2 linked regions of the Anolis sagrei genome follow. Each later gene encodes a partner of the first gene's protein in a complex. Links are inferred from orthologs where the notes say so. Each region holds a gene or a part of one and is shown in the gene's direction. Other genes may lie near its edges.

Region 1 (7,676 bases):
GGTTGCACTGTTTCACCATGTTTACTCTCAGGCCTTTATGTAGCTGCGTAAAATGCAATGCTCACTAGCTGAGCCAAATAATTTATTTATTTATGTATTGACTTTGCTTCTATACCGCTGTATCTCAAGCCCGAAGGCGACTCACGGCGGTTCACAAACAGTAAAAACAGTAGAAACAGCAGTGGTTCCATACAACATAGAACAATTGACTTAACACATTATCCATAAATTACCAATAAGCCATTACAATGCACAATTATTACAAAAAACAACAACCGTCCCCAATCTTCTCCTCATCCAAGCGTAGTCCAGGTTCGCCGTCCATTGTTCCATTCCTATGTTCCATTACCAGATTGCACTAAATTACTCAAACGCCTGCACAAACATCCAGGTCTTCACCTTTTTGCGGAATACCATTAGAGATGGTGCTAGTCTAATGTCCGTAGGAAGGGCGTTCCACAGCCGAGGAGCCACCACCGAGAAGGCCCTATCTCTCGTCCCCGCCAGCCGAGCTTGAGAAGCAGGCGGGATCGAGAGCAGGGTCTCCCCGGAAGATCTCAAACTCCTGGTGGGTTCATAGGCAGAAATGCGGTCAGATAGGTAACTTGGGCCGGAACCGTTTAGGGCTTTAAAGGCCAACGCCAGCACTTTGAATTCAGCCCGGTAGCAGATCGGTAGCCAGTGGAGTTGGCGCAACAGGGGGGTTGTATGCTCCCTGCGCTCCGCTCCTGTTAAAATCATGGCTGCCGAGCGTTGGACTAGTTGGAGCTTCCGAGCTGTCTTCAAAGGCAACCCCACGTAGAGAGCGTTGCAGTAGTCTAAACGGGATGTAACCAGAGCGTGGACTACCGTGGCCAAGTCAGACTTCCCAAGGTATGGGCGCAGCTGGCGCACAAGCTTTAGCTGTGCAAATGCTCCCCTGGTCACCGCCGAAACCTGGTCACCGCCGAAAATAATGTCCAGCTCAAAATGCTGAGACGCACATGGAATTCGATGTCTTTTGGGTTGTATACATTTTGTTCACATGGATGTATTGTTGTTGTATTCAGGCATTGAAAGTTTGCCTTTTATGTTTAGAATTGTGACGATGTGTAAGTTTTATTGCTTTGGTTATGGGTAGTTTGGATAGTGGTTTAGGGATGGTAAGTATGGGAGATTATGTTTTGTTGGAGATGGTGGCTTGGCGTTAGCTGAGTTGCCATAGCAACAGGGGCGGAGCCAACTGCCTCTTGAGGAGGCAGCTATTTTAAAAAGTCAGCCAGTGGCCGGAGAGCTACTGAGAGGACTGAGTCTCTGGGTGGAGATTCAGGGAATGTGTCTGTAGCCGGTGTGCTATAGGAAAGACTGGATCTCAGGGTGGAGATTCAGGGAATCAATTGGTGACCAAAGTGGTTGCAGAGAAGGACCCGGTAGTGAGAGAGCTACAGGGGGTTGTTGATTCTGAATTAAGAATCAAGGTTTGGCTGGGTTTAAGCCTGCTGTTCCTGTGGTGAAACGTTTTGAAGTCTGTGCCTGAGATTACTCATGAAACCTTTCCAATGTAACCATCAAGATTTGTGCCTCTTGAGAAGAAACAGTTAAATATGTTATACTCCTGTTAAAATAAACTTGTTACTGTTTTCCTGAAGCCTTGCCTGATACAGTTTCTCCTAAGTTGAACAGCCTGCAATAGTAAAGTCAGCCAGAAACAGTAAACGCTACGCTATCCACTGAATAAGACCTTCTGTCATTAACAGTCCCTTTATAAAATAGTTCCTAGGCTGATATTGATCGTTGCCCGGCTTCCCTCATAGATTAGTGGGTGTTTTACCACTCGCACCTTCACATTTGGTGGCATTCGGTGGGATTAAAACGGTCTTCTTTACAAGAATCCATCCTGTGTCCCTCTGGGGAGATAGAGCAGAATATAAAGAAATTTTTATTATTATTATTATTATTATTATTGAAAAATAAAAATCAGCATGATTTCCAATCTCAATAGTACCATTCCCGCCTCTCCAACTTCTGTAACGTGGCAGTGGCAATCCTTATTCTGCTCGCTCCATCTCTCTCCAAATACCCATCCTAGTTATATGTCACCTTGTCATGCCCAGCATTTTTTATAATTTTAATTATTACATTTGGCCCTGCCATAGGTTTTTAATGCGCCGTGGTGTTATTGTTACTGTTTATTGCTTTGTTTATGAGTTTATGCATTATCTGTATTGCTGTTGTTGCTGTTTTTACTGATGTATTTCGGCTTGGCATCTTGTAAGCCTCACCGAGTCCTTCGGGAGATGGTAGTGGGGCATAAATAAAGGTTTATTATTAATATTATTATTATTAGTCCTGTACCGTCCCACTTTACAGCTGTTTTTCAAACGTCCCAGTTTCTCTCGCCTCCTTCCATTTTCCTCCTTTGTCCTCAGCTTTCCTTTGTGGCTGCAAACAGAATTGAAGATGCAAAAGTGCTATATGCACCAGGCCTGGGCAAACTTGGGCCCTCCAGGTGTTTTGGACTTCAACTCCCACAATTCCTAACAGCCTACCGGCCCTCCAGGTGTTTTGGACTTCAACTCCCACAATTCCTAGCAGCCTACTGGCTGTTAGGAATTGTTGGAGTTGAAGTCCAAAACACCTGGAGGGCCCAAGTTTGCCCAGGCCTGGTATAGACCCAATGATTTCAATGGGCACTTCCCTGGTGGTTCAGGCAAAAGCAAACAGCTGCTGTCTTTCCTAGTTGTGCTTTGCCACATTGACCACAACCAGGTATATTTGATCTCACATGCCCCAATTTCCATTTGCAGAATGTCAGTCCATTTGGTGTTGCAGGACGCCCAGTATATTTTGGGGGGGAGGGCAAATGCAAATACTTGCAAGGGTCTGGCATGCCCAGGGCAGATTGCAGTTTTTCCCAAAGGAGGAATAGGTACAAGTAAGAGAAAGAAAGAGTTCCTCCTCCTCCTTGTCTGTGCCTCTCGGAGTCATCTGTCGCCCAGCTGTGCCTTTGCTCCTTTGACCTGAACTTGGTGCGTTGATTGGCCATTCCTGGCCTTCAGAAAGTTACTTGTGGGTTTTGGGGGAGGAACGCTGCAAAATCTGGCATGGACTTTCCAGGAATATTTATTGCTTTCTGGTGAACCTTTGCTCCGCGTGTCTTTGGTGCATGGGAGAAAATTCAGTCTCAATTCGTTTTTTGATGCTAGTGGGTGAGCATTTGCAAATTTCACCATGTGGTGGAAGGATAGAAGGGAATCTCAATGTGCAAGGTTCACATGTCAGCCCAAGCTGTGAATGGGTTAGACCAACTGCAGAAGCAAGAGAAGGCTGAGCTGAATGGAGCTCCTTTTTGTTCATATGCCAACAGAGAGAGCCTCCATATGCAGGGGCAGTGTACTTGGGCATAGCAGATACTTGAGAACTAAAACTTAAGGAAATGTTGTTTTTCCCACCTGTCCAGGGCCCATGAAAATGGAAAAGATGCAGGACTTGGAATGTTTTACTTTTGGGGCTACAATTCCCAGAAATATCTCCAAGATGGGAGGCACTACCATTTCTCACTTATTGAGGGATCCATCATTAAGGGGAGTAAACCTGGCCCACTTGCCTCTAGCCAGGGTATGGGCCAACTTGAAGTCCAAGTGTTTTGGACTTCAGATCCCACAACCTGGGTATGCAGATGATCCCTTGAATGACCATAGTGTTCAGTTCCAAGAGGACAAAGGCATGGGCCAACTTGGCCTTCCCTTAATGTGTTTTGGACTCTAACTCCCACAACGTGGGTATGCAGATGATCCCTTGATGGACTGAAGTGTCCAGTTCCAAGAGGACAAAGGTATGGGTCAACTTGGGCCCTCCCTCCAGGTGTTTTGGACTCCAACTCCCACAATGTGGGTATGCAGATGATCCCTTGATTGACTGAAGTGTCCAGTTTCAAGAGGACCAAGGCCTGGGCCAACTTGGTCCCTCTCTCCAGGTGTGTTGGACTCCAGCTCCCACAACGTGGGTATGCAGATGATCCCTTAATTTACTGGAGTGTCCAGTTCCAAGAGGACAAAGGCATGGGCCAACTTGGGCCAGGTGTTTTGGACTCCAACTCCCACAACGTGGGTATGCAGATGATCCCTTGCTTGACTGAAGCGTTCAATTCCCAGGGGACAAAGGCACGGGTCAACTTCAGTCTTCCCTCCAGGTGTTTTGGACCTCAACCCTCACCATTCCACATTTCTCCCTTTCACTCTCCAATCATTCCTCTTTTAATTCTGCAGCACTGCTGGTCACAGCTGACCCCCAGTTACAGTGCTCAAGGGCCAGGGCTTCCCAATTCTTGGTGCAAAGTAAGAACCGCACAATTAACAAGGAAATTACACTTTCAAACCACAAAGAGAACATTTTTTTTCAAATTTTACTACATAGTGCAACCTTTATTGATGCCCGGCCTTTCTCCCTGTAGGGACCCACAACCCCAGCCAGACCTGTTCCCGTGTGTGCTATTGCCTTGGCCTCACAAAGCAGTGGCAATCCAGTCCAGGACTTCCTCCCGCCTCAACTTGTTCCCTTTCCAAGTCCTGTTTCCTCTTTGCAGCTCCTATCTTGAAAGTGTGGGGAGGGGAGGGGGCAGGAAAGAACTCTGGGCTATGTTTATCTGGCCTGCTGAGAATGTTGGCCCTGGAGCCGGAGGAGAAGTCCCCGGCTTTTATTTCTGGACCGGCACATGCCTTGCAGGCTGGGACTCCCAGCTCTGTGATCTTTATTTATTTCCTCTCCTCCTCCTCCTCTTCCCATCCTTTATTTCTTCCTTGTCTGTAAGTGGAGAAAGTGGAAGGGTTCTGGGAGGACCCCCACCACCGTCCCCCAAAAGAGATGTCGGTGAATGGTAGGAGAAGCTCCGGCAGGCCCTCCTACTACTACCGGCTGCTGCGGAGGTCCAGGCTTCACCGGCAACGGAGCCGGTCCCGCAGCCGCAACCGGCCACTCAGCAGGGGTAACGCACTTTCTTTGTTCTTGCATGCACCTCTGGCATCTGTTGCTCAGCACCTAGAAGGCAGGTAGAGTTCGGGGCCAATGGCAGGTGTGGGACAGGTATGGAGGAGACTTGTATGGGATGCACATTCTGGTGATGGAGGAAGGATACCGTCTTTCGGGCTGCACAGAATGGAGTGTCGTGTGTTATTATTGTTAGAGTTGGACCAAAACTATTGGATTAAGAGGCATGCCAGGTAGATGGCTGAGCCACACGTTGTCCGAGATGTCTTTCCTGCCCAGTCTCATATCCGGTCCAGATTTGGTGTTAGGGAGCCTCCAAGCAATGAGCTTGTTCTTAAGTGTGCCGGGCAAATTCGAAGAGGTCCAGTTCCATCAGATTTGGTATAGCACCGGATGGGGTCACACTCCTCCTGAAGACGCAGGTTCGCAGCTCAGGTGTGATCTTGGACTCGTCACTGAGCCTGGAACCCGAGGTTTCGGTGGTGACCAGGGGAGCATTCACACAGTTAAAACTTGTGCGCCAGCTGCACCCGTACCTTGGGAAGTCTGACTTGGCCACGGTAGTCCACGCTCTGGTTACATCCCGCATAGACTACTGCAACGCTCTCTACGTGGGGTTGCCTTTGAAGACTGCTCGGAAGCTTCAAATGGTCCAGCACTTCAACTCCCACAATTGCCAGGTTGCTAACAGGAGCGCCACTCAAGGAGCATACAACTCCGCTGCTGCGCCAGCTCCACTGGCTGCCAATTTGCTACCGGGCACAATTCAAAGTGCTGGCTTTAGTCTTTAAAGCCGTAAACGGTTCTGGCCCGACCTACCTGTCCGAACGCGTCTCCGCCTATGAACCAGTTAGGACATTAAGATCGTCTGGGGAGGCCCTGCTCTCGGTCCCACCAGCTTCACAAGCGCGCAGTAGTCTATACGGGATGTCACTAGAGCGTGGACTACCGTGACCAAGTCAGACTTCCCAAGGTCTGGGCGCAGCTGGCGCACAAGTTTTAATTGTGCAAATGCTCCCCTGGTCACTGCTGAAACAATAAAATACATAATAACAATAATTATAACAATTAAAACATTACATTAATACAATAAAAAGCTAGCCTGGTGGCCATTGTTTTGCCAAGTCCATAATTAATAAATTCATTCCGCTTATCATAATCTGGTTCCAAAACTTTAGTCGTCATTGTCCATTGTCAGTCTGCCAGATTACCTAAAGGCCTGGTCCCATATCCATGTTTTTAATTTCCTTCTGAAAGAGAGGAGGGATGACGATGATCTAATTTCCCTGGGGAGTGAATTCCACAGGCGGGGGGCCACCACCGAGAAGGCCCTGTCCCTCGTCCCAGCCAATCTCATTTGTGACGAGAGCAGGGTTCCCCCAGAAGATCTTAAATTCCAAGGCGGGACGTAGAAGGAGATACATTCGGACAGGTACGCAGGGCCGGTGCCGTATAGGGTTTTATGCAAGAGGGAGGTCGTTCTGTTGCCACTTCTCTGGAAGCTGGAATGTTAAGTGGGATGCAGCCAGTTGAGCGTGTAATGACTTTTTCTATTTACATTGTAGAGAGAGCACAGCATCCTGGGAACTGTAGTTTGGGAAGGCGAGGAGCCCTATGGCAGAGAATGCAAAAGGCCTTGCCCTGAACTACATTTCCCAGAATTCCGCTCAGCATCAGAAAGCCCCAATGAGGAGGAGGAAGAGGTCCTCCTTCCTGACAGAGTCCCAATGAATGGTTGAATCCCCCAAAAATCAGTATATGTGTGAATCTCTCAGAAACTGGGAGTGAATGCTCTCCTGTCATCTTGTGTCATTGTGCAGAAAATTCAAGGAGAGTGCTCTTGTAGGGTTTTGTTAATGTTGTTTGTAAAAATTTTGAAAATTCCCCCAAAATCAGTGGAGGAGCGAAACATTCTGAAACTTGGTGGGCACACAGTGGTCACTGGGTTCTATAACCGTACCAAGTTTCATGCCAATAGCTGTAAAAATGAAGGAGAAAGGGACCCTTGAAGTGTCCTCATTGGCACAATTACTTAACGAAAAGTAACGAAAAAGCAGTGAACTCATTATAGTTATGATACGGACCCCATCCAATTTTGGAAATTCTGATTTCGTAATGAGTATTCAAATATTTTTTTAATTACTAGCCATCCCCTGCCACACGTTGCTGTGGCCCAGTCTGTGTATATGTGCTTTGTATGTATATACATGTATATATGTGTGTGTATATGTGTATATATGTGATTATGCACATGCATTGTAATGCATTTTTTATTTTTTTGGCTTTTTGCATCCCTTCTTCTGTGTTTTCCAGTGTTTTAATGAGTGATGGTCACTCATTGGCTTGAGAGGTGTCTTGTGTCTAAATTTGATTTCAGTCCGTCCGGTGGTTTTTGAGTTATGTTAATCCCACAAACTTCTGGTTTGAAGAAGAACAGCCTGCCTCAGGGGAGCGTGCTCGCTTCGTTAATGTTCAACATTTACACAAATGACCAGCCACTGCCAGAAGGGACAGGGAGTTTCATCTATGCTGATGATCGTGCCATCACTGCTCAAGCAAGGAGCTTTGAGATGTTAGAACAGAAACTCTCTGAAGCTTTAGGTGCTCTTACTGCCTATTACAGGAGAAACCAGCTGATCCCTAATCCATCTAAAACACAGGCATGTGCCTTTCACCTTAAGAACAGACAAGCATCCCGAGCTCTGAGGAAT
Region 2 (8,005 bases), on another chromosome or scaffold:
AGCGGATATTTCAGAGTTAGAATACTCCTATTTAGCCATGGGGTTATTTCCAAAAGAAGTTATACAGCTTGTAACTGAATTGGGAAGAAATATTACTATCTTCTGATTTAGATTTTAAGAATAAAAACATTGCAGTAGTAGAAACTTCCACCATATAAGGATTTGCATGAAAGAATAGACACACACCAGAGAAATTAGCAGCTTTTGGACATGGATGAAAAAAAGAAACAGGAGTGCAAATTGCATCTTGGATCAGTTGCTGGCATCAGTTGTCTTCTTTTACCTTGTGCTGCATTCAGAAAAAATATTATTTACGATCAAAACTGCTTCCAACGTGTAAATGACGCAATGCCCAGCTTCACCTGTGCAATTGAACCACTTACCCTCATCCAGTGGAAGATGTCATAATCATGAAACAAATTCTTGCAATTTGTATGTCTCCAGCTGGCAGGCAGCTGCTGCCTTTCCGGAAAAGTTGCCACTCATGCACAATCCCCTGATGAAATGGCACCCCATGTTAGAAGGATACAGGATATTGGATTACCTGTCTGCACCAGATCATTGTTTCTAGGAGATAATCCATAAATTATTAATCTTTTGAATGTTCTTGAGCAATGTAAGGAGGGCTACTTTTGACCTATTTCAACCTTTCCCATTGCTGTTGTGAGAAGAACAGAAGGATTAAAATTAGCGATCCACGGCATCTGTCCTTTTAGGATCACTGCTGTGGTTTACAGCCTTTTCTTTCTTTCTTTCTTTCTTTTTTTTTACAATGAGCATTTCCTATCTATTCGCTTCACCTTAAATGGGTGAAAGAAAGTTAAATTCATAACTATAGGGAACACTCCAGTAGAGTAAATGTTTCTTTTATGCTGTTATACTTGTACTTCATTAGATTACATGGTTTCAATTATTCATAGTTCCTTTAATGCTTCCTTTTCCATATAATTTCCTAAAGGATTTCACCAGCTTCGGAAGAAAGAACAAACAGCCTATCGATTTGCATTAGTCTCCCTGTTCTGCCTGAGAGGCCTGGAGGTATCTACACTTAAAAGACAAAATAGCAGAAAGAACACGCTTCTGTCTCCCCCAATCTGGTGCTCTCCAAGTGCTTTAATTTAAATTTCCCAAAAGCCTCAGAGAGCATAGGCATTGGTCAAAGGTGATGGGAGATGCAATTCAACAATTCAAAAGGCTACCAAGCTGGGAAAGGCTAGTATAACTACATAAAACAGTTGTTCTATATCATAAACAGGTTTCATAAGTTATTACACACATTTTGTTCAGTGTAAATAGGGTGTGATTGCTATCGGATCTGTGAAAAAAGAACTTCTAAAATAAAGCATGGCTCCCATGCCTGCAGGACTTGTCCACCTCCAACAAAATATATCCTTTCTAGAAATTCTGTGGTGTGCTTATACCAGAAGTTATTAAGGTAAAGGTTTCCCTTGACATTGAGTCTAGTTGTATCTGATTCTAGGGGGCGGTGCTCATCTCTGAAAAGCCAGCATTGTCTGTAGATACCTCCTAGGCATGTGGCCAGCATGACTACATGGAGCGCTGTTACCTTGCTGCCGAAGCGATACCTATTGATCTACTTGCATTTGCATGTTTTCGAACTGCTAGGTTGGCAGAAGCTGGGCCTAACAATGGGAGCTTACCTTGCTCTCTGGATTCGAACTGCTGACCTTTCAGTCAGCAAGTTCAGCAGCTCAGCGGTTTAACCCGCTGTGCCACCAAGGGACCCTCCAGATGTAATTACATAATGGTATTGGACGATCTAGCAAATTCCTAGAGGATACCTCTTTAGACATTTTCGAGGTCCTCAAGGGAGGTTCTATACTAGTAAGAAGTTATTTATTTCAATAGGGTTAGCTATTATCCATGGTTTCCTGTTTCCCCTGCAAATTTTAGGAACACATTCCTCACTGATACAGGAGTTGTATTGTATTACAAAGCAGAATGATTCTTACATTAAATTCTTGAACTAATATAATTAGTTCTGCTTGCAATGTGCTTTTATATTACATTATACTACATAATGCAATTATAATGTCATTATATTGTATATTAGAAATGTTATTAGGCTGGATATTTTTTGTTGCTTAAACAGATTTAAAATATAATAATATATATGCTTATAATATTATTTTTATTGTAAAACAATGTCTATATTATAATGTAATGTTTCTTTAGAATAAGCCCATATATTTGGGATTAGGACCCAGGGTTTAAGAAACAATGCTCTAAACCAGTTCTACTTCAGAGTGGCAGTGCCAGGACCAAAGGTGGTCCCAGAGCCATTGGTTGCTGGTGTCTGCCAAGTTTCCAGGGAAAAAAAGGAAACATTTGGACTCAATACACACAATGTTTATCCATCTTTTATACTACATACATAGAAATTAAGTATTTTATCCCAATGTCATGAAATTTGGTATGTTATCAAATGAGACAAAAAGTCCACGGTAAGGTTTTGGATCTCATCTGTCAACTGCTTTGGATACCTCCCAAGCAAACATTACTGTTTAATTAAGTGATAACTCTCTCTATCCAAAGAGTGCTTTTTTGTGAAGTGGTTCCCCAGTGCCTTATTAAGAGCACTGCACTGGGCACCACTCCATCACCATATATTTAGTATAGTCTGTGCCCGCCCAGTCATTCATATTTCTTTCCATAAGAGATTACTGGAAAAGGTACCCACCATATAAGAATATCAGCTAATGATACAGAATCGGGGTGGGGAGGCATGGGGTAACCCATTTAAGAACATACACTCTACTCAAATTCAAAATTCATATTAGAGAACTGAAGAAGAAAATACTCTATCAGAGGCAGGAATTCGGCAGCTTTGACCACATGAAGCTCAAGAAGGCTTAGATTTATTTCTCATTGTTCCTCAACATTTTGGAAAACTCTGCCGCCAGTGATGAGAATATCACCTCCAAGGTCACAAAAACAGTGTCATTTGGTCTCCAGGGTCCTGGAGAAGCTGCAGATGCAGTTCATACAGCAACCTATATTGCAAATGCAGTACATACAAATAAGTAAGGGTTGGGGTGAAGGGAGAAGAAACTGACTGACTTCATGGTGTTGACAAATGTTTTAACTGCTTTTAACCAAATGATTTATTTATTGTTTTAAACTATTGCTATATTGTTGTTTGTTTGTATTTATGGCATCGAATTGTTGCCAATGTAAGCCATCCTGAGTCCCCCTTCGGGGACTGTGTGTATATGTGTGTTTGGGTATATATGTGGTTTTGCGCGTGCGTTGTAATATATTTTTTGTGGAGGCTTTTTTTTTGCTTTTGAAGTCTCTTCTGCTGTGTTTTTCAGTGTTTTTATGAGTGATGGTCACTCGTTGGCCTGATGTTATGTTTTTGTAATACAGGCATCGAATTGTGCCTTGTTTGTGTAAGCCGCCCTGAGTCCCCCCGGGTGAGAAGGGCGGGGTATAAGCAACCGTAATAATAATAATAATAATAATAATAATAATAGGTGTATTGTGTCCAAATCTGGTGTCAATTCACCCAGTGGTTTGTGTGCTGTCGCCTGGGCCTGTGCATCAGACTGTAGACAGGACATAAATTCTGTGTGCCCAACGGGATGCCGGGGCTGCCTCAGATTAAAGGCCTTTGGATTTTCTTAAAACAGAGTCTTTAGATTGCTTAAAGGTTCAACCAAGTTCTTTATTAATGAAAACAAACAGGTACTTTAAGGCTTTCTTAACAGTCTATTGGCTCTCTCTCAATCTTGTCCACAGGGAACAGGCACTATATTCATAACTGTAACTAATGGGGAAATCCTTAACTTCTAATCTGGGCAGTCTATCTTTGCCTCTGTTGGCGTGGAGCCCCTGCACCCGGTACCAACTGCTTCTGGCTTCCGCAAGTGACCCTTACCAAGCAGAGCTTTGTAGACTTCCAGGGGAAAAGAACTCAGGTTTCCGTGATGGCTAACTGAAGTCCTTCAGCAAAGGAACTGTAGGGCTGTATAACCCCGGCCAAGCTGTGAGCTGTATATCTCCCCGGCCAAGCCGTAGAAGACGAAGCTTTCTACAGGAGCTCTTGGTATTATGTCCTACATGGAAGGCTTCTCTGTGTGGACTGACCCAAAACTGGCTCCTATTCCCTCCCAAAAACCCAAAAGGGGGCGGGACCAGGGAACCTAACTATAATTGACAGGTGGCTTGCCCTATGATTGCAGCCAAAAGAAGCCACCTATCTGCAGAGTCCCTGAAACTTAGGACTACAGCAAACATTCAGTGCAAAGCAAACAAAATTGGAGCTCCTGGTACAGCTGTACCAGCAGAGTTTGTGGGATTATGTTAATCCCACAATGTGCAAACATACATGCACATATGACACACAACCCCAAAAACGTTAAAATTAAACCTCCTTTATGTGTATGTGTGTGTGTGCAATCATACCTGGGCATATATGACCCACAACTCCAGAAACCTCTTTGACATTAAACCTCATTGGGTCCCAATTTTTACAGAAAACTCCATCACGTGCCACCCCAAACACTGAAGAGCCGGAAATGTATTTCTAGGTGAAACAGTTTCCGTCGCGGCAATCGTTAAATAGCAGTCAGAGCTGCGGAAATACATTCATTTGGGTTTCTTTCCCGGCGTTGCCCATTCCCTTCTGGAATTAGTTCAGTTGAGAGAAACACCAAGGACGGGTTAGAGAGGCGCAGCAGAGTGGAACGCAAAGCCGGGCGAAGGCGGTTTCCGACCGGCGGCTAGAGAGGGACGGACCAGTGCGGGTGACGCTCCCTGGGCCTCCCCTCCTTCCCTTCCCCGCCGCGGCCGAGGTCCCGGATCCAAGATGGCGTCTCTGAGTCAAGCGGGGCAGGAGATGAGCCTGGCGGCCTTAAAGCAGCACGACCCCTACATCACCAGCATCGCCGACGTGACCGGCCAGGTGGCCCTCTACCGCTTCAGCCCCAAGGACAACGAGTGGGTGAGTCCACGGGGCCCCGCTCGCTGGGAGGGAAGGAGAAGGGCCCCGGCCCCTTTGGCGGCCATTCGCAGAAACACGCCCACCTTTCGGAGTTCCCACAGAAGCTGCTGCTGCTGCTCTTAGCGCAGGCCTGGGCCAACTTGGGCCTTCCAAGTGTTTTGGACTCCAACTCCCACCATAAGCGGCTGAGGGGGAAAAGGAAAGGGCCTGAGGCTGTTAGGAATGGTGGGAGTTGGAGTCCAAAACACCTAGAAGGCCCAAGTTGGCCCAGGCCTGCGCTAGTAGCTCCTGTTTGCTCCTTGTCTTGTGAGTTTTATATTCACCTTCTATTTCTATTGTATGTTTATCACTCTTGCACCGTGAATTGTAATACAGATATTTTGTGGCCGTGTTTTTCAATGTAAATATTTTAGGGTATTATTATTATTGAATCATAGAGTTGGAAGAGACTTCGTGGGCCATCCAATCCAGCCCCCTGACAAGAAGCAGGACAATTGCGTTCAAAGCACCCCCGACAGATGGCCATCCAGCCTCTGTTTAAAGGCCTCCATAGAAGGAGCCTCCACCACACTCCGGGGCAGAGAGGTCCCCCCCTGAACAGCTCTCACAGTCAGGAAGTTCATCCCAATGTTCAGGTGGAATCTCCTTTCTTGTAGTTTGATTTATATTTATTTAGGTTAAAGGTTTTCCCCTGACATTAAGTCCAGTCATGTCCAACACATCTCCATTTCTAAGCCAAACAACCACCGTTGTTCGTAGACACTTCCAAGGTCATGTGGCTGGCATGACTGGAAGATGCGCCACTACCTTACCACTGGAGCAGTACTTATTTATCTTCTCACATTCACATGTTTTCAAACTGTTAGGTTGGTGGAAGCTGGGGCGAACAGCAAGGTGCTCACGCCGCTCTCCAGATTTGAACCTGCAATATATTTATTTATACCCCACTTTATCTCCCCAAAGGGGACTCAAGGCAGCTTGACCTAAAAACATTAATATACCATTTAAAATAAACAAGATTGCAAGCATTCAATAGAATTAAACATCAGCAGCATTTGAAAAAAATCGCAGTTAAAATCCATCAAAACAGTTCAAAAGCACAGAACCCCCTGACTAGTTCTTGGACACCTTCATCTTTAAAAGTCTGTTTATTTATATCCTGCTTTTTTCTCTCCATACGGAGACTCAAAGTGGCTCACAACTAAAAGCGTTAAAATATACACGTATTAAAACAGGATTAAACATCATTTAAAACATATAAAATCACAGTGGTCCCTGATAATCTTTAAAACCTTCTTCTTTAAATGCCTGCCTGAATAAAAAGGTTTTAGCATGCCACCTGAAGGGTAGCAGGAGGGGGCCATTCTTGCTTCCCTGGGCAGGGAGTTTCAGAGTCGCAGGGCAGCTACCGAGAAGGAAGGCCCACTCTCTCATTCCCAATAACTTAACTTGAGATGGCGGTAGGACCAAGAGAAGGACTTCGCCCGGGTAGGCTCATACAAGTGGATGTGGTTGACCAAATAGCCTGGACTTGAACTGTCTAGGGCAGTCGTTCCACACCTTTTTTTTTTTCGACCAGCGACCATGCACCAACATTAGTACCAGAAGGGTTATGAATCCGTTTTTGGTCAATATTACATCTGGTTTGGTTATTTGGGATGCTTATTCAGAAAATTGCATTGGATGGATCACATCAACTCTAGTTTCTGATACAGAACATATGCCATCCAGTAGTCACCATCTGCTCACCCACAGAAAACCATATTTAATAAGCCTCAGCACTATAAGAGAGTTTTCCAAGACCAGTCACTCTTGTTGCAATGGTGTAGTAACAGTGAGGCTGTGAACCATAGTTTAGTTCTTTCAGACCACTGGTGGTCCACAGGCCACAGGTTGGGAATCACATGTCTAAGACTTTAAAGGTCATAACCAGCACTTCGAATTCTATCTGGTAACAGACTGGCAGCCAGTGGAGCTGTTTAAACAATAGGATTGTCTGCTTCCTGTAGCTAGCCCCAGTGAACAACATGTCTGCAGCTCTGTGGACCAGATGAAGTTTCTGAGCCCTCTTCAGAGGCAGCCCCACGTAGAGTGCATTACAGTAATCCAGACGATGTATGTATTTTATAGTAGTGTGTTTTAGCTGTGTTGTACCTGCTTTCAGCCATGAGGAGAGGTGGCTATCAAATAAAAATATTATTATCATCATTATTATTATCTTTCCCCTGAGATCCAATAGGTGTACAGTAGATCAGGGCTTCTTATACTTTTTCTTCCTGCAACCCTTTTCCACTTGAGAAATTTTTACATGATCCTGGGTATATAGGTACATTAAATAGGTATAAAAATCACACATTTACTGGTAATAAATCAACATTTGCAAGACTTGCTAAATAGGCTGATTTGTTTTCTGGAGTGTTTTCTGGGAAGTAAACACTTCATGTTGTTCCTAACTGATTTGTGTAAATAGATAGTGTTCAGAAACCTTTTACTGTTGCAATTTTTTTTGTTGCACCCAACATTGAACCAAGAAGAGACCACAGTTTTAGAAGGAGTGCAAGAGAGCTTAGGTTTGGTTCTAGGACCCCAACAGAAGTATCTGTTTAGGTTTGGTTCCAGGACCCCCCATAGAAGTGTGATGCTATGTGTTACAACTCCCCACAAAAGAAACAAATACTATCTCCTGCTCTTTGGATACCTTTCGTTACAAAGGAAGATTTAATAGTGTGCTATAACCTCTGCATGCAAAAATGTTTGCTCTAAAGTACAGAGAAAAACAAGAAGCAATGTAATAGTCAAGCAGAAGATTATTAGTGTTTCCAGGTAGATTTCATAGACTTTTTACATCCTTAGGATACAGCTATCTCTTCTTTCTGTTCATCATGTTAGGACCAACTCAGAAGGTGGTGTCCCATCATTTCTAGTGGTCATGGATAAAACACCATAACCTGCACTAGTCCTGATACTTCCCCCAACATTTATTTGCATGCTGCTTATGCGCTACAAGAAGACAAAAATGTTGTATTCCTGTCTAATGTT

What was found.
Region 2: DAB2IP (region 1) and DCP1A share a complex: the UniProt entries of both Homo sapiens proteins name them as parts of the cytoplasmic complex. The link is inferred for Anolis sagrei from reciprocal best matches to the Homo sapiens genes DAB2IP and DCP1A.

The regions. Positions count from the first base shown.
Region 1 is NC_090031.1:2,168,141-2,175,816, reverse strand, and holds the start of DAB2IP (disabled homolog 2-interacting protein), read left to right. Parts: upstream 1-4,584; 5' UTR 4,585-4,842; coding exon 4,843-4,963; intron 4,964-7,676. UniProt on the Homo sapiens protein: Functions as a scaffold protein implicated in the regulation of a large spectrum of both general and specialized signaling pathways.
Region 2 is NC_090022.1:60,978,745-60,986,749, forward strand, and holds the start of DCP1A (mRNA-decapping enzyme 1A), read left to right. Parts: upstream 1-4,784; 5' UTR 4,785-4,831; coding exon 4,832-4,966; intron 4,967-8,005. UniProt on the Homo sapiens protein: Necessary for the degradation of mRNAs, both in normal mRNA turnover and in nonsense-mediated mRNA decay. Removes the 7-methyl guanine cap structure from mRNA molecules, yielding a 5'-phosphorylated mRNA fragment and 7m-GDP.